Linked DNA regions of Caenorhabditis elegans. The protein of the gene in region 2 interacts with the protein of the main gene of each other region in a pairwise test. Each region holds a gene or a part of one and is shown on either strand. Other genes may lie near its edges.

The links. The genes of interacting proteins can lie anywhere in the genome.
Region 1: the proteins of Y57A10B.6 (region 2) and tbx-42 interact in a two-hybrid assay, tested with the Caenorhabditis elegans proteins (one large-scale study listed by BioGRID).
Region 3: the proteins of Y57A10B.6 (region 2) and tbx-39 interact in a two-hybrid assay, tested with the Caenorhabditis elegans proteins (one large-scale study listed by BioGRID).

What each region holds. Positions count from the first base shown.
Region 1 is NC_003282.8:5,230,772-5,235,662, reverse strand, and holds tbx-42 (Putative T-box protein 30/42), read left to right. Parts: upstream 1-1,787; coding exon 1,788-1,984; intron 1,985-2,033; coding exon 2,034-2,220; intron 2,221-2,275; coding exon 2,276-2,818; downstream 2,819-4,891. Other genes in the region: thn-5 (Pathogenesis-related protein 5-like), read right to left, coding at 3,184-3,398, 3,607-3,832, 4,573-4,830. UniProt on the Caenorhabditis elegans protein: Involved in the regulatory network to control embryonic patterning and morphogenesis. Implicated in negatively regulating vab-7 expression at the anterior of embryos.
Region 2 is NC_003280.10:12,387,158-12,395,030, reverse strand, and holds Y57A10B.6 (SEC-C motif-containing protein), read right to left. Parts: upstream 4,949-7,873; 5' UTR 4,876-4,948; coding exon 4,810-4,875; intron 4,113-4,809; coding exon 3,522-4,112; intron 2,960-3,521; coding exon 2,660-2,959; intron 2,610-2,659; coding exon 2,454-2,609; 3' UTR 2,369-2,453; downstream 1-2,368. Other genes in the region: F57G9.7 (Serpentine Receptor, class E (Epsilon)), read left to right, coding at 1-175; Y57A10B.7 (Gag protease polyprotein), read left to right, coding at 1,288-1,398, 1,451-1,666, 1,732-2,004, 2,064-2,279; sre-41 (Serpentine Receptor, class E (Epsilon)), read right to left, coding at 5,192-5,381, 5,438-5,571, 5,799-6,081, 6,263-6,738.
Region 3 is NC_003282.8:15,321,943-15,327,262, reverse strand, and holds tbx-39 (Putative T-box protein 39), read right to left. Parts: upstream 3,371-5,320; coding exon 3,174-3,370; intron 3,122-3,173; coding exon 2,935-3,121; intron 2,881-2,934; coding exon 2,074-2,880; downstream 1-2,073. Other genes in the region: tbx-40 (Putative T-box protein 40), read left to right, coding at 1-324; Y73F8A.15 (DUF38 domain-containing protein), read right to left, coding at 5,083-5,285.

The DNA.
Region 1 (4,891 bases), on a different chromosome or scaffold from region 2:
TCTGAAATAACTCAATACAAATTTGGTATACAATCAAAGCACAAGATTTTTCCTACTTTGTTTTTAAAAACAAAATGAAACATGTGAACATATATGATATTGAACTAATAATTTTCTTGAAGAAACTCAAAAAACCCTGAAAGGTTAAGCTTTTTTTTAACTCAATGTCGGTAAACTGGTTACATTAGGTTATTTTTTCCTCTCAAATTCAAAGAAGAAATTGCAAGTTTGAAAATGAAATGCTACTTTAAGTTTTAATTTCTAATATTTTCCACAAAAAATCCTCGGTCTTGTATTTTAATCTCCTGTTTTTATATTGACCCTTATTCATTTCCCATTGTCTGTCAATATAGTTGTCATTCCAATGATGACAATAGGTGCTTTCGGTAATAATAAGGAATTAATTTATATAAAAATTGGGTGGAATACATTTTGTCAGGATTTTCAGCCTCTGTGTATGTTAAAGATGTGAAATGGAATATTATATTGATCACGGAAGCAACAATAAATTATCCTCCTTTTAGTTATTTTTCATTTTTTAGGCTGAACTGATATTGTCATCATTGGAATGACAACTATATTGACAGACAATGGGAAATGAATAAGGGTCAATATAAAAACAGGAGATTAAAATACAAGACCGAGGATTTTTTGTGGAAAATATTAGAAATTAAAACTTAAAGTAGCATTTCATTTTCAAACTTGCAATTTCTTCTTTGAATTTGAGAGGAAAAAATAACCTAATGTAACCAGTTTACCGACATTGAGTTAAAAAAAAGCTTAACCTTTCAGGGTTTTTTGAGTTTCTTCAAGAAAATTATTAGTTCAATATCATATATGTTCACATGTTTCATTTTGTTTTTAAAAACAAAGTAGGAAAAATCTTGTGCTTTGATTGTATACCAAATTTGTATTGAGTTATTTCAGATTAATATCAATTTGATAACGATTTGTTTGACTTTCTGGGCTAAAAGTTTAGGTCAGTGTTTCTTTTTTTACTATATCTTTTAAAAATATTAGCCACGTTATTTAAAAAATGCCTTGTTTGCGCTTACTGTTCAACTGAGAAAAAATATTTCCTAATTTATACGTTTCACAGTTTCTGAAAATTCCAAAGAGCCCAAAATTAACACCAAACTAATTTGTTTTGACAATGAAACGTCTTCGTCTATAATTTGCAATGTATATGATGCCGAAGTTTTCATAAGAAAATACCAATTGGCTCATCCTATCCACTGCTTTAAATAAATGAATGAAACAGTACAATTTTAAAAAGATTCTATCAAACAATTTTGAAGTCAGTTCAATAAGACTTTCATTTTAACTCAATAAATACCCACTAATTTTGTAAAAAAAAACATATCACTCACATGCTAGTCGTCGTCTTGTTTCCTGTTCGAACTGTATTTTTATAAAAATATAAATGTATCGTATTTGGTATTGTACTAACCCAATTTTTTTCCGGTAAACCTTAATTTCGAAAAATTGTTTCAATTCTCAATCTCTTGTTACTATAACCTTTAATTTCTTATCGTTAATATATTTGTTATTTATTGACGTCTTTGAGAATATGTTAGCTCTCAGGAAATCGATAATTGGATGGACCCCGCCTCCGTGCTCAGACTCCGCCTGCTGTGTGTGCTCTGAAACAAGATGAGCATGGAGGCAGAAAATCATTCATTACAACATTCCGGTTAGAATACAGTTCATTTTTTTCTTTCTTTTTGCTTTTATATATATTTTTTAATTTTTCTATTCGTTTTTAATTTCAGATAAAGGTCTCTGCGATGAATCCATCAACTCAAATCGTTGTGAAAATGTCAAATGAAGAACTATGGAAAGAAAGATATCCAAATATGGAAATGATTTCAAACAGTAAAAGAATTACTCCAATTTTCCCTGAAATCAAATTCAAAATCTCTGGATTGGAAGAAAATTCAAGATATGTATTGGTACTGTCACTTGAAAAGATGGATAATATCAGGTAATTTTGATTATTTTACAAAAATTAAATAAATTCCTAATTATTTCAGATATGGAATAAATGAAAACAAAGAATGGGCTCCATCGTCTGCTCGTAAACCAAAACCACATCATAATATGAAGTTTTTCTTTCATCCAGAAGGAACAAAACTTGGAAAAGAATTGATGGCTGAAACAGTTGAATTCACTTCAGTGAGGATTACAACAAGTGAGAAATTATCAGAAAAGGAGAATGTGGTTAGTTTCTATTTTTATTGCTTTAATCAATTTATTGAAAAACTATTTATTTCAGTTCTATGTTCACACAATGCACAAGTACGTGCCTGTGCTTACAATCAGGAACCTAACAACCGGAGAAATTGCCTCAAATATCTTTAAAATGGAAATTGCTCAATTCTTCCCAGTTTCAATTTATCAGCAAGCTTCCATGGGAAGATGGAAGTCTGATTTGAACAAGCATTCAACTTTTGGAAATAGGTCAGAAGGTGGAATAAAAAGAAAAACTTCTGATGCAGCTGGACAACTACCATCAAAAAGGTCATCGAAGAAGCCTGTAAAGAAGGATGTTGTGGATAATTCTGAAGTTACTCTAGAAGTGAAAACGTCTCAATATCTTGTGAATCAAAACGAGAGTAATCTAACTGAGTATATTCCTTCTTCTCCACTCTATTCATCCCAAAACCAGTATCAATATCCGTTCCATCCATATTCTCCATTTGACTCATCTATCCCATATCCATACTCTCCAATGGATTACTCTTATTACTTCAATCCAACTTTCCAATCATTTTCCCCAGAAAATGTATATTTTGATGAAAATAGAAACCCCCATTAACTACTCGAATAGCCATTTCAAATAATTTACTCTTTTTTGTTCTTTTCATGATTGCTCCCCTTTGATAGTTAATTATTTATTCTTCCTGTGAATATCAATGATTCCCCATGTTTTCTATGTTTGATATCATTAAAATTTCTTTCTTTTGTCCTTTTATATTTGATTTTGTTGTCGATAAATTTAAATTTAACCTGTTTTGTGATTCATTTATTAATTTTCATTCCAATAAGATTTAAAAATTAATTATTATGTTCAGTTAAAAGCACGCTTCAAAAATAAAATCAGGCTGCGAAATTCTGCAGAAATTTTCTGAAAATGCTTTAAAAAAACCCAGAACATTTATCCAGAAATTTAAGCCCACTCAATTAACAAAATTGAACTACATAATTTGCATTTTTACAAGTAAAAGTGGAAGTAGCATCATCATAAGCATAAGAATATGCAGTTGGACAAGCATCTTTGAAAAGCATTGCAGTTCTGCTTTGTCTACATTTGTCAGGAGTTCCAAATGCTCCACGGCAGCATTCCTGATCGTTGTTGTAAGCAACACAACCAGATTTACAGCCAACGGTACGACCATCTGAAATTGAAACAGTTGGAGAAATTTTAGTTTTTAAAAATTTGTTCTGTTTCAATATGTGATTATTTCTGAACTTTTTCAAAGTAAAAGTATTATCCATTCCGTGATTAAAGCAAAAATGACTTTAAATAAAAATTAAACAGGTTATTTATTTTTTTGAAGTTTTTTTAACGGAAAATTAAAAATTCTCAACCCCACCGCCACTTACCTTTTCTCACTGCAAGATCGCCTGGACAGAAATCATTGATATTTTTGAAACATCCTCCTGCTCTTCTACAATCACCCTCACCACCATAAGGATCAATAAGAACTGGAATATTATATCCATCAACAAGCGAAACATCATAAAAATCTTTTCCATCAGCTCCACGGAGAGTAAATTCGGCGAGACTTGCCGGAGGCTCTCCACCAGCGCCGTTGCATTGCTCCCGCCGCTGAAGGTTGTTTATTTCAATTATACACTGTTTCATGAAGTTGTTAATTTTGCAAGTCTGTTCTTCAAAATCGTTTAATACAATATTTTACCTGTTTTTATTTTTGAGAAATTTGGAGTTCCACTAATGTTCAAATACGAATAATTATTAAAAAAAATTAGGATGTGAAAAATTTAGGTATCATTATAACGCCCACATCGTTTTTCGTCGAAGATTTTGCACAATTTTTAAAAATATGACTTTCTGGAATCATCAAGAAAACATTATGTTGCTTAGGTCTCAACTTCTATGTGCCTGCCTATGCCTATTCGAATAAATTTAGTTGGCGTAAAATTTTTACTCCCAGATCTTGAGCGAAACACATTATTTAGAATCAAAAAGATTGCAAGATCGAAATTGGTGGAAAAAACAAAGATTTTTAATTGTTTTTGAAACAGTAAATATTTTGCACTCAAAATGTAAATTTTTTACCTTAAAACTAAGAAGGCCCCACAAATTCCAATTTGCAAAATACATAGTTAGTTTAACTTTAAAACATTTGTTTCTATCAATTTTCGTCAAATACTATTTAAAAAATGTGTTCCCCATTGGCAACTTCTGAGTACTGTAAAGTTTTGGTAATCAACTATTGTTTAATCTATATTTCTGAGCATCTTCGAGAAAAATATGGAATTTATTGAAAAAATGAACATATTTTTGCATCTATGAATTTTGAAAATTTCGGAGTTCCCAATATTTACCCCACAATTGCCTGTTGCACAATTCATATTCCCATCACAATCAGTTCTCGGCCAAATTCTCGCAGATTTCCATCCGTCATCAACATAAATACTTCTTGCTTCACCTGCATTCAATCGAAATCCTCCTCCTTCAGGATTTCCCGGTCCTAGAATTCCAGCCCATGTTGTGAATGGACACTTGTTGTAGATTTTGATCTCTCTCGATAAAGATGGAATGACGAAAAGAGAAATTGAGAGAATACCGGCGAAAAATAACATTTCGAACACCGAGTTGCCCCCACGCACTTATATACTGTTCCGCTGGTAATGAAAACAATGG
Region 2 (7,873 bases):
ATTATTCATATGCTCTGCGGTATTCTACATGAAACCCCGTTGGCTCAAAAGTCTGCTACAATTGGTTCCCGGCAGATTGGCACGCCGTACTCATGCAGTTGAATTTTCTGAAACTGAGAAAATAAGGGAATCGGAAGCTGATGCACATTTCGAGCAGTTGAGAAAGTTGTGGTGATTTTGACATTTTTTTGTTGTATATTTTATTTTTATTTTTATTTTTATTTTTTCATAAACTTGTTTTTTATCCAAAAATGCTTCCAAACACTATGTAGATCTGCGTAGCAAACAAGTAATAATAAGTTTTTCTCTCAGTATTCTCACACCCCGGATTTCTGGGTTTTCTCAGAAGTTTTCCAGCTGCTGGGTGAACTGCTAATCAGTTTTCTGGTCAAACTATCTACGAAAGTGCCGGCGTACAATGATGATCTCATTATTTTTTCGCAATTTTATTTAGTTTTTTGATGCGAAAATATGCAGAACTTTATAAATCAATAAATTTGAAAAAAAACAATAATTTTAGAAATCAAATTAATAAGTTCGGTAAAAATCAGCAGATTTTGAAAAAATCAATAAATTTTGAAAACCGATAATTTTAAATCAATAATTTTAGACAAAAAATCGACACATTAAAAAAACTATAGATGAGCAAAATCAAAAAGTTTGGAAAATTCGATAAATTTGGAAAAAAATCGATAAGTTCGATAAAAATCCGCAGATTTTTGAAAAATCGATAATATTAGACAAAAAAATCAATAAATTTTGTAAAAATCGATAAATTTGGAAAATATCCACATTTTTAGAAGAAAAAAAATTTGATTAAGTCGGCAAAACAAATAAGCAATTTTTTGCTGTCTAGAAAAAATTTCCAACCGTAAAAAATAATTCCAGAAACCCGCTGATAATAACCCCGGCTGTAGTAATTCGCATACCGCTCTGGAAGTCGAAGTTACTGGAATCACTGCCACGTTTCTTGCGGAACAAACTTTCCAGAACATCCAGCGAGGTCCGACCTTTAGACTATACCGCTCGGCGTACCGTTGCCGACGAGTCGAACACTTACTGGACACAATTTTCGAGCTCTTGGTGATTGATTTTTTACGTGAAAAATTTTGAACAAAATATTTTTTAGATTTTTTTTTTCAAATTTTTTGAAATTCTAAATAAAAAATAATAGAACACGTGATTTTATTATTTGATCAATTTCCTGGTTTCATAATCAAAAAATAATTTATTCCTAATTTTACAAAGTTACAAAATCGGCGCAAATTTCTTGATTCAAAAATCGATATGGCTCCGCGTAAGAAGGTGAATGAAATGGTGATTCGGAAGACGGCGAATTTGACGGACAAAATGCGAAAGGAGCGGACAGTTGAGGAGTTTGAGGAGGTTAAAACCGCTGTGAGTTTTTTTTCTTTTTTTTTAATTTTCTAAAAATTTTAGCCATTTTCAGCAATCCAAATCCTACGAATCCGACACTTCATCGGCCGAATCGTTGCGTCAAAAACGAACAGCTCCCTCCGCGATTCGTACCGTGCAAATTCAAAAAGAAATCGTTCTTCCTTACGATGGAAATCTAGTCTCCGTCTATGAGAAGTCGAGCAACACCCGCTCTTTGGACACGATTTCAGAGCCAGGCGATCTTGAGGAGTTCAAGAAGAAGGCTGAGGTAGGTATAAACTAAAATTGCCTACCTGCCTACCATCAGTCGATAGCCCAACTTTTTTTTTTCAGGAATCCAAGTACGTTGGTCCTCAGATTGTCCCAATGAAATTCGTGACAACTGACGTGGAGACGCCGGTTAAGGCGATTTTTGTTTCGGATTTCGACTTCTGCCAGGCAATGCATCACCCGCCACAAAGCTCGACCCAAAGCAAGAAAGTGGAATTTTCCAAGCGGTTCGAGGTGGAGCAGAAGTTTCTGGAGGAAATGGTGGCGGATATCGAGAAGCTCATAGTGTCCAGTGGAAGAATGGATGTGGAGCTGAAAGTTGTCAAGGCTAGAGAGGTCGCGAAAATTCATTGCAAATTTTTCAAATGTTTCAAACTCATATTTCAAATTTTCAGGAAAACGATAGTCCACGTGCAAAAATCAGCCTGGTCCGGAAAATTCACGCGGAAAAAGTCGATGACAATCTCAACAATCAAGCCGGGCTTGTTGGCTTCATCCTGCCTGATTTGGAAATGAAGGACCACGGGATTCCGTTGAAAATCACCAAAAACCAGCAAGTTCCGTCGGGCCAGAAAATGTTCGAATCGTTTAAACGTCTTTTTGGATATTGATTTGATTATGAGCATGATAAAGATTTTCTGATTTTTTTTTCAGAACTATTATATTTTATTTTAATTGTTTTGTTCTTTTTTCAGAAATTAGAAATTCAGGAGTAAAACACATTTCATTTAATGATATTAAAACCAAAAACTTTGGAAAAACAGGTTCAAATAAATTATTTTCGATTAAGCGGACTTGAGATCTTCAATCTTCTGCAGCACAAGCTTCACAGGTTTAGTTGCTCGTTCTTCAAATTTGACAAGAATATTCTTCACATCGAATCGTTCGAATTGATCCAGCGAGACGTCCTGTGACAGGAAGAAGTTGCAAATTGGGTCGACCTGAAGACAAAAAGCTTTATTTAAACATTTTGCAAGCTTCCAAAACTTACAAAATAGTCCTTCCAATCCTCATCACCCAAGTACCTATCACCTTTGAAATATCCCATCAAAAGCGTCATCACACTATCGGGCACAAGCCCGAGCTCCGAGTTCTCGCGTAAGTATCTTTCCAGAGCTTCCAAATTCTCCCATTGCATACCGACTTCTTCCATCTCTTCGATAAAGTCGATCAGGTGCTTGCAATCTTCCTGTTCTGGGCAGTAGAGGTGACACGAAAGAGCAATGTCGTATTTTCGGTAGAATTCCAGCGGCAGCTCGTCTGTACCGACAAATTCTATGGCGGTGGATATCTGGAAATTTTTCAATGTTTTTTGGAGAAGTTGACGGAGGTTTTGGAGTTTTAAAAGTATATTCTCGGATTTTCTTAATTATGGATTAATTAAGCCGAAGCCCTAAACCTAAGCTTAAGCATATGACTAATCGTAAGCCTATGCTTAAGCCTAAGCGGAAACCTACGCTAAGTCTAAGACAGGCCCTAAGCCTTAGCCCAAGCCTACGCATAAGCCTAATCATACGTTTAATCAGAAGCCACATCATAAGCCTTATTCTAAGCCTTATTTTAAGCCTACACATAAGACTAAACCTAACATTTGTAAGGTTAAGCCTAAGCCTAAGCTCAAGCTTAAGCCTAAGCTCAAGCTTAAGCCAAAGCCTAAGCCTAAGTCTAATCCTTAACCTGAGCCTAAATTTTTTTAAGCTTCAATACCTTCAAACTGAAGTGGGCCCAAATTTCATAATTATTAAAATTTCAGTTAATCGCCAATTTTTTGTAGAATTTCGGCGAGAAGTCTTCAATAGTTTTTGAAAAATCTCTGAAGGTTCTGAAAAAAAATATCTATCAAAAACCCCTACCATTTCCTCATTTCCTGCTTTAATGCACTGAGCCAAAAATATCATCTCGATTTCCATCCTATTATGTGTAAAATCTCCGTGTATAGGTGGATACCTTCTGTCCAAACTTGGAGCAACTTCAGTCTCCTCCGATTCCTCCTCGACTTCAGACTCTACCTCATCTTTCAGACGTTGATATTTTCGCACCAGCCATGCGGCTTCTTGAATTTGATGCTCAAAAACTTTGGCTCTTTCCAGAATTCCATACTTCTCAAAATCCTCAACCAACAGGTCAAGCCTGCTCAGAATGGAAAATGAGCATTTCACAAAGTCCAGGTCGGTGAAGAAGGAGACGGCGGTGAGCAGCTTCAGCGTGTGCACCGAGACTATTCCGTCGGGGTACTCCTCGAAAGTACTGTCAGCAAACCGTTTCAACATCCAAGGCTTTTCGTGTTCGATTTTTTGGAGTTTAAAGTTTTGATAGTTGGAGGCCATGGAGAGTGCTAGCTGGTTGTTTGGAGCATGTCGCTGCACAATGTATGGGAAGTTGTGTTGCTCCAGGATATCCATAGGTACAGTGCCAAATTTCAGCTGTGAGAAGGCTTTGGTTATCTGGAAATTATGGGACGATTAAGGAAATTATGGGACGATTTTCTGAATTTCATTTTAAAAAATTCACGCTGCTTGCAAAAAATCTGGTTTTCTAGAAACTTTTTCAAACTTTTTCCAGATTTTCACTTAACTTTTGAACTTTGAGGTTTCAATAGTTGAGTGAAAAAAACAATTTTTAACCCACAAAATATCATGTCAAATTTCAAATGAATGTTCGTTCAAAAAATGAGTTCTTGGTTGAATTCAAAAATCCGCCCAAAAAATTCTAAAAAATACTTTCCTTACAATTTCAGTTTTTAAAATGTTTTTTTTTAAATTTATTTTTCCAAACATCAATATTTTGAGTTTTTTAATAAACGTTTCTAATTAAAAAATACATATAAAAGCTTTGAAAATTTGTAGATTTTTTTAAATTTTAGGTGGCTTGCAAAAAAAAATTCCACACATGGCAATGTTTTTTTGAACAACTTTTCTTTGTAACTTTTTCAAATTGCATTCAAAAAATTTCAAAAAAAAAAGTTGTTCATTGAAGCATTGAGAATCTTTTTATTCCAAGACTAAAAAATTCAAAGCTTAATTTTTTTTAAATAAAATTTTCAGTTCAAAAATTCGCCAAAAACTTGTTTTTTTTCTATTTTCCAAACACCAACCAGTTGTATGAAAGATTAATTTTAAATTTTTTTTTTTTAAAACTTACCAATTTATCGTCTCCAGTCCTGATGGTTCTCGCGAGAATATGAGCCGTATATTCTGTGTCGTTCATTTTCCACCGAGAAGATTGCAGAGAGTGAGACAGAAAAATAGAGGAATTACACCGAATACACGCCATTGAGACTAACTTGGTACATTGAGAGAGACTCCACCCAGTTTTTTACAAGCGCAGGCGGGAAGAGGGTATGTACCAAGTTGCGGGTAAGTACATTTTATGGCTGTTGGGGGTGCTAACTTGGCAGATGGACGGAGAAAAAACAGGAGGGAATATTTCAAAAATTTATGAAAAATATTTTTTCGGAGCCTAAAAATTTTTAAACAATTCCAAAAAAAACACAATTATAAAACCTCAGCTATGACAACAAATTTCAGTTCCACGAGCTTCTCAATTGCTGGAAATACACTTCAGATTCCAAAACAACTGATCTCCTAGACTCCGAAATCCCAATTCTCGATGTCCCACTAATATGTTTCCCCAATACCGGCAACTTTTGCATGAACTCGTGTCGCCAAGCCACCGAGCAACATAAAAGAGCAACTGCCATTACTAAGGCTGGTCTGAAATTTTTTTTTTTTAATTAATTTTGTTGAAAAATTATGGTGAATCGACTCACAATAAGATGAGATTCTCTAGTATGTGAACGAAGAACACTTGAAGTCTTTCGAAGAATCCGAGCATGAGGCAGGTGAACACGAGGAGAGTTAGGGAAATGTGCACGGAGCCCACGAGAACTGTGTACTTGGCGAGCTGGAAGAGAGAAGTTCGTTGGCCTAACTTTTCGCTGGCCAAGGTTTTTCTAAACGAAAGCTGATGGGATGGCCTAACTTTTGTAAAGTTAAAAATTTGGCCGAGACAAAAATAGCATGACTTTATGAATTTTTGACTTTTCTAGGACTTTGGGTACACAATTGATGGCCTAACTTTTGCTAGACAACATCCTCGGTCTTGCTTTCGCTGGCCTAACTTTTCCTCACCTTCAAGCTTCGAATATTCTCCTCAACTTGAAACTTTCTCGCCAATGAATATTTTTCATGGTCGGTTATATTCTTCCGCATCTGATTTCGGAACACGAAATTGATTCGAAGAATTGTAGCGTAGGCTGACGTGGATAACACAATGCAAACCGCCCATTGACCATAAACTACGAGGAATGGTATCCGGTTATGGATCACAAAATAGACATATGGAATTGTAATAATATTAACTAGTATGATAAGGATTACTGGGATATGGCGACGGCGTACGTGCTCGTAGTCGCTGGAAAATATACAATTGAACGTTCCTGTATCTGGCGCCAAATTGGAAATTTTAAAATGTTAAAATACTTTGGAGCATAACTTAAAATTTATTTCATCAAAAAAATTAAATTTGGTCTAATTTTTTTCAGAGATTAAGATTTTAAGACTAATTTTCAAATTTGAATTTTCAAAAAACTCACTGAATATAAAACGTCGCACATGCTCTTTCCACACCAATAGCCATAATTCCAAAAAACATGGAAAACATATAATGTCTGTAAACATAGCATGCTATGTACAATACCCTTATATCATCAGTGCTCTCCACCAAAACCATATCATTTCGTCCGCTGCTCCACCAGGAAAAATATGATTTTCCGGGTGAATTTCCGATTTGAATTAAGCCAATTTGATAGGGAAGTATAAGAATTTTGGCGAGAATCGCCTCAAACCATTGGCACAAAAAGAACGCCATTAAAATGTTCTTGTTCTCGTGGAAAAGTCGAATTTTTGTGATGATTTTGCAAGTTCTTACAATAATATATGCCGTGGAGCAGTAAATGAGAATTTGGATTGCTGCGAAAAAAGGGTAAATTGGGGACTCGTAAACTCTGTCGTTTAAAGAGAAAACTGGAATCCATAGAGTTTCTGTAGAGTTTAAAAATGCTATGATCATATTATATGTTCTCTGAAAAATAACAAAAAATTGTGAAGAGTGATGAGCTTGAAGCAAACGAAAAAAGAAATGAGTGAAACTTGCAAGCAGATGTTTGTGCTTGAGAAATGCGTCAGCAATTTTTTTAAAAATGAAAAATGAATTTCCTAATGAGACTAGAAATATTTTCATGTGTATTTTGTATTCAATATTTTTTGTTAACTGATTAGGCTTTTAGGTGGGAAATAAGGAAATTGAAAAGCGGTTTTCAGAAATTTGAAACAATAACTCAAAAACGCTACACCATCTTAAAATTTATTCCAAATATTTATTGGTAACCGAGCAGAATCAATAATATGGCAAAACCGGATCTACATACTAAGTTCAGATAAACATTTAAAATTAATTGGAAATATTTCACCTGCTCGGTTAAAAATTGGCCTTGGGAAACTAATATTGTACTGCTCATTGGTTTTATATTTTTGAAATGGACATGTTTTTTGAATCACTTGTTGTTCTTTGAAATTATATGCCATTGATAAAGTAGATAAATCAAGCGTGAGAGCTGATGAGCTCGAGAGATCAAGGATTTATTTTTGAGGCATGAGGAAGAGGGTGGAATTTCCAAGAAGATCAATTTCACCTGTTCGAAGGAAACCAGTATTCATGGAAAGTAAATATATTTGTTTCCGAAAAATGTAAAATTCAACTTTTTTAGGATCCAGAACCTCATATTTGCTTAAAATCGTAATGAAATCAAAAATCCTCCTGTTCAGAAAAAAGAATGTAAGTACCGTTTAAGTTCCAGGCGCAGTTTTAGGGCCTGGTGCCTTGTGCCGTTCATTCCACATATTTCGATAGTTGAATCTTTCGTAGCAGCCGACACTTTTTGAGTTCCACGCCGCACCTTACAGAAGGCACGGGAGTGGCGTAAGGCAGGCAAGCGCGGTAGTTGCTTTGGCCCTGCTAGTTTATATTCTCAACATAATGAGCAACATTAGCATGTCTAAATGTAGGCAAGTAGGTAGGCACGTAGGCACCTGGTGTCAGGCTATCCTATTATGGTTTGATCTACAAAAAATGCGGGATTTTTTTGCCCAAAAACATGCGATGTCAGCACGTTCTTAACCAAGCGAAATCAGTTGAGAACTCCGCG
Region 3 (5,320 bases), on a different chromosome or scaffold from region 2:
TATGCTCAGCAATTTCCAGCTCCATTTGATGAAAAGCAAAATCAATTCTATCCAAAAACTGATGAAAATCTGGCGCCAAACTGTGCTCAAGATGCTTCAAGTTTGCCAAACTTTGCGATGAATCAAAAGGCTTCTTTTGCAAATCAATATCCATATCATCCATATTACCATCAATATTCTCAGCTTGATCATGGATCTCCATATCAGTACATGAATAACTCCATCAATTCCGACTCCTCTTTCCAGTCATCATTTTCTACTGAAAATTCGTATTTTGATGACAATGGAAACCCAATTCATTATCCCTATTATCCTTACAAATAATTTGTATCTTCATTTCTGTATGAGTACCTCCTTATCATGTTTTCCAGTGAGTTTCACGGTTTTTTTTTCCATATTTCCCCTCTAAAAACCAACTAACACTTTCCTGTGAATACATTAGACTTTTTTTTTCAATTTTTACTTATACTGTTTTATGTGGTTCTCAATTTCTGATCTATTTTCTTTATTTTCAATTTTTACGTATCTGATTTCCATTTCTATTAATAAAGTTGAACACTTTTATTTTGCAAAAATTGCTAAAAATGCTAAAATTAATATTTACGCACTCTGTTTTTACCAGGAAAAAAATTCGACAAAATAATCGACAGTAAGTTTTCATTTTGACCAATTACTTAAAACTCGAAACAGTAGTGTTCTCCAAATTTACGTTCATTTTCAGAATATCGAGTATTTTCAATTTCAAAATTATGTTCCCCACAACAAAACGTACTTTTTGAAATTATTTGTAGAAATATACAAACATTCTCGAGCAGAAATTGTTTCCTCAATTATTTTTTCATGGTTTCAAAAAAATAAATAATTCTACGAAAGGAAGATTGAGGTTTTCTAATTCTAAAAGTTGGTTGACTCTCTGGCGGAACATTTGTCTGCTTCAAGTTGTTGATATATTTTCATATAGTTTGAGTACAATTTGATATTTACTCACTGGAAAATTGACTCATAAAGAACTGAGAATGAAACAGTAAAATAAGTCAGAAAAAAATTACAAAATAAAACAAAATGAAAGAAGGCAAGAAACTCACAGGAAACTTTGAATTTTTATTATTATTTTTTATTATTTTTATTATCAACAGTAAGTTTTTATGCAATCCAATTATTTACAACTTGATACAGTTTTTTTTTAATACAATTTTTTAAATAACCAGAATAGTTTCAATTTCAAAAAATAATATTCTCCACAAAAAAAATAATTTAGCAGCAAAAAAAGTTTATATTTTTCATTGTTCAAAAAATAAACTTTGAAAGTGAGGGAATTTAATGTTCAAGTACCAAAAAATAAATAAATCAACGACAGGAAAAGTCGTCTGCTTTACATAGTTGGTATATTTCCTGTTTTTTTTTGTAAAGTTACGTATCTGCGGCCCACAATATAATCGAAAAATTTGAAAAATTTCAAATTTTAATATCCGAAATTCGGAATAATTTGACACGCAAAAATGATGTGCTTATGTTTCTATTCCACACTTGATTCATCAAAATTGAAACATTAAAATAAAAAAAAAAGCAAACTTTTTTGCTAAGCAGCTCCATAATAGGCTTTCCATCCGGGCGAGGTGTGTCGGGGGCGCCCTTCGCCCGCCTCTTTCCCGCGCCCCCCTCACGCCCGCCCTGACACCCGGTATGCAATTTGTCGTCGCGGTGTTTGCAGAAATGAAACAAATTGGACGCGCATTTAGAAAACTTTGCCATCACGTTATAATATTAAATTGTAATTTTGGCAATTATTTTTATTCAATAGTGGATTAATAGTGCAATGTTTAATTTTGAAAATGAATAATGTATGAATTTCTGAGCCCTTTTATCATAACGGTAAAGCAAGATTAGTGTTAAAAGTTTATTAAAAGAAAATTGATTTACAAATTATTGCGACTAGAAACAGAAAATTAGGTGAGAAATAATTTACAGAATTAAACAAAATGAGCTAAAGTCAATATGGACAGAGAAGTCAAAACAATCACAGGAAAATTTGAAAAAAATAGGAAACAAGGGTTAGTAATGAAGAAGTGACAATTAATTGCTAGAATAATATGGATAGTGGATAGGATTTCCATTTTCATCGAAATATGAATTTTCAGCAGAAAATGATGACTGGAAAGAGGAATCAGAATAAATAGAGTTATTCATGGAATAGTTGAGATGTGGAAACTGTTGGCTGGATTGAAAATATGGATAATAATAGGGATAGGAACCATATGGATATTGATTTGGAAATTGAGAGACTGGGTAATCTGGAGCATTCTGATGAATATTTTCCTTTTGATTGATCGCAAATTGTGGTACACTTGAAAGATACTGAACATTTTTTGCAACCCTATTTTGTTTAGTTTTCGGATCGAATTGATTGTGGATTTCATCAAATAGAGCTGTGAATTGCTGAACATAAATTGGTGGAGTATTGACTGTTGGATACGCATGTGGATATTGATTTTGATAGGAAGTTGATGGGAACTGGTGAATAGAGGAACTGATCTCATTTTGAAGCCTTCCAGAATTCGTGGACTCATTATAATTTTCTGATTGTGAGGCAACTTGAAGGATATCCGAAACAGCAATTTCTGTTTCATTTTTTGATCGTTTTGATGTTCGCTCTTCACTCGAATCAGTATTCTTTCTCTTGTTTCCCCCATCCAATCTATTTCCATATGTTGAGTTCTTGTGAAATTTAGATTTCCAATTTCCGATCGATTCTTGATTGTATACTGTGACTGGGAAAAATTGGGCTACTTCCATTCTCATAGAATGATTTGCAGATTCAACATTCGTGATATTTTTGACAGTGAGGACTGGAACATACTTGTGCATTGTTTCCACGAAAAACTGAAATAAAAATTAATTATAATATTATTTAGTGAATTAAAAATTCAAACTAACCACATTATCCTTGTCCATGAATTTTTTGTGATTCGTAATCCTGACTGTATCAAATTTAATAGTTTCCTTCATCAATTCCTTTCCAAGTTTTGTTCCATCTGGATGTAAGAAATATTTGATTTCTTGTTCTTTTTTCGTTGCATGACGGACTTTTGAAGGTCCCCATTTTCCATTTCGGTATCCATATCTGAAATTAAGATTTGTCTTTAATGGTGACTTTGAAAATCATTAAAAAATACCTGATATTGTCATATTTTTCAATTGAAAGAAGTACAACATATCTCGATTTCTCTTCCAATCCAGTAATATTGAAGTTGAGTTCGGGAAAAATTAGTTTCGGCCCTTTATTATTCACAATCATTTCCATATTTGGATACCATTGTTTCCATCGGTCTTCTTCAGCCATTGTAACATTGAATTGAGCTTGTGAAAACATTATTGAATCTGAATATTGAAAAAAAATCAACATATATTAATAGGAAGTATGAAAGAAAAAAAACGGTATACTAAACAAAATATTATAATGAATGATCCTCTCTATCCCTTTAATGTTTTAGACCCCACTTAGTGGGCGGAGCCTGAGCACTGGGTTGAGTCAACCAATTATCGATTGATTGTATTCACTTGCTCTCTTAGAATTGCTCAACAAAAACTGTTTGAAACTGGAAATCGTACTTTATATAGTGATGTCCTTTTAATCACTATATTGAAACAGTAACTTTTTGAGTGCTGCCGCATTTGATAAAAACGCCCGAGTTACTAATTTAAAATAAAAATACTAAAACCCGATCCAAAGCAAATTATTTAAGGATATCCACATTTAGACTTTTATTTTGTAGTGTCAATTTTCTGCGTGCTTCTCTATTCCAGATTACCTTTTCACATATTAATATTTCATGTCAAAGTTGTCTATTCCAAAACATTACGTTACAGTTCCACTGGTGACCTATATTCTTCCCAATTGTCATTCACATAATGACAATAGGTGCAAGGTATCCCCCACCTTAACATCCACCACTTTACAACTCTACTTCCTTCTCCTTGACATATCATTCCTTTTCGATCGATTTCCGGACACACACCTGACAATCCAAATGGTTGTAAACTTTATGTACTGGGAAAATATATTTAGTCTTTTGATAGATAATAAGCAGAAAAGTGAGAAAGTGTATACTTTTACAAAATTGAAAATATAGAAAATGATAGGTTTACATTTCATTGCAAACGTTATTTTAATAACAAAATTTCAGACAGAAAAGGATTTATTTGAAAAGTTTCTATTTTGGATGAAAATTCTACTCCGCTCTGCAAAACACTATGTCAGTATTAGTAAATATGTATTAGACATCACATTCTTAAAGAGAGAATTAATAAGCTGTAATTAAAAAAAAAATAAAAATTGCTGTTTCAACATTGTGATACATTTGCTGCATTAATGAGAGTAAGACAATTTGTTTGGTGGCCTTATTGATGTTAGTGAAATATGCCACATTTATTCTCGAAAATATGAATTAATTAATTAAAATCCCAACAGAAGTTACTTTTTTCTTGAATATTTTTCTATCGGTAAGAATATAGCTTCGGTTTACAATTTACTGAGATATATATGTACATAACTAAACTATTGAGCTGACAAATTCAAAAATATCCAAAAACAATCAAGGAATACAGGTTGAACGGATCATTGAGCATATTATGCATGTTGACATTAAAATTAAAATTGTAATACAAAAGTATTTACGGAGTGTTTTAAATTACTATAGTGAAACACGCAATATGTAGATAAACAATTTTGATAAAGTTAAAGACAGAATTTTTTTGAGTAGCCATTCTATTTAATTCCATGTGCATATAATTGTATTTTTTTCCGAAAAATTAACTAATGCTGAAATTAAAATTATGTTTCAATGTCCTGATAACTTTGTCACCATGTTTTGCAATTATTATGTTTTTCTCCCAACAATATTTTCTGATTGGAACTGGAATCAAAAAATCATTTTTAAAATTCATATTAATATCAACAACAAGTTATGCGTTTAGATTTACCAACGTTTAGAAACAGTAAAAATTATCAGAACTTTACAAAAATTCTTTTCGAGCAACTTCTTTATTCTAATCAAGTACTACTTCATTCATCACAATGGAATATTAATTGATAACAATTCCAGATTTAAGTCTCCATTTTCCTTCTTCTCCTTCACGCAATAGATAGAAATCAGCAATATTGGTTCTTGGCCCAACTACATGTGAAACATTGAACTTGATTTCATTTTTTCCTTGAGTAAAAATCGATGATTTGAGGATCAATGGCTCGGGATTCGGCTTGGTAAGGTAGCTTTCCACGAATAGAGCTGAAAAAATTAAACAATCATTAGAGTATTTAGTA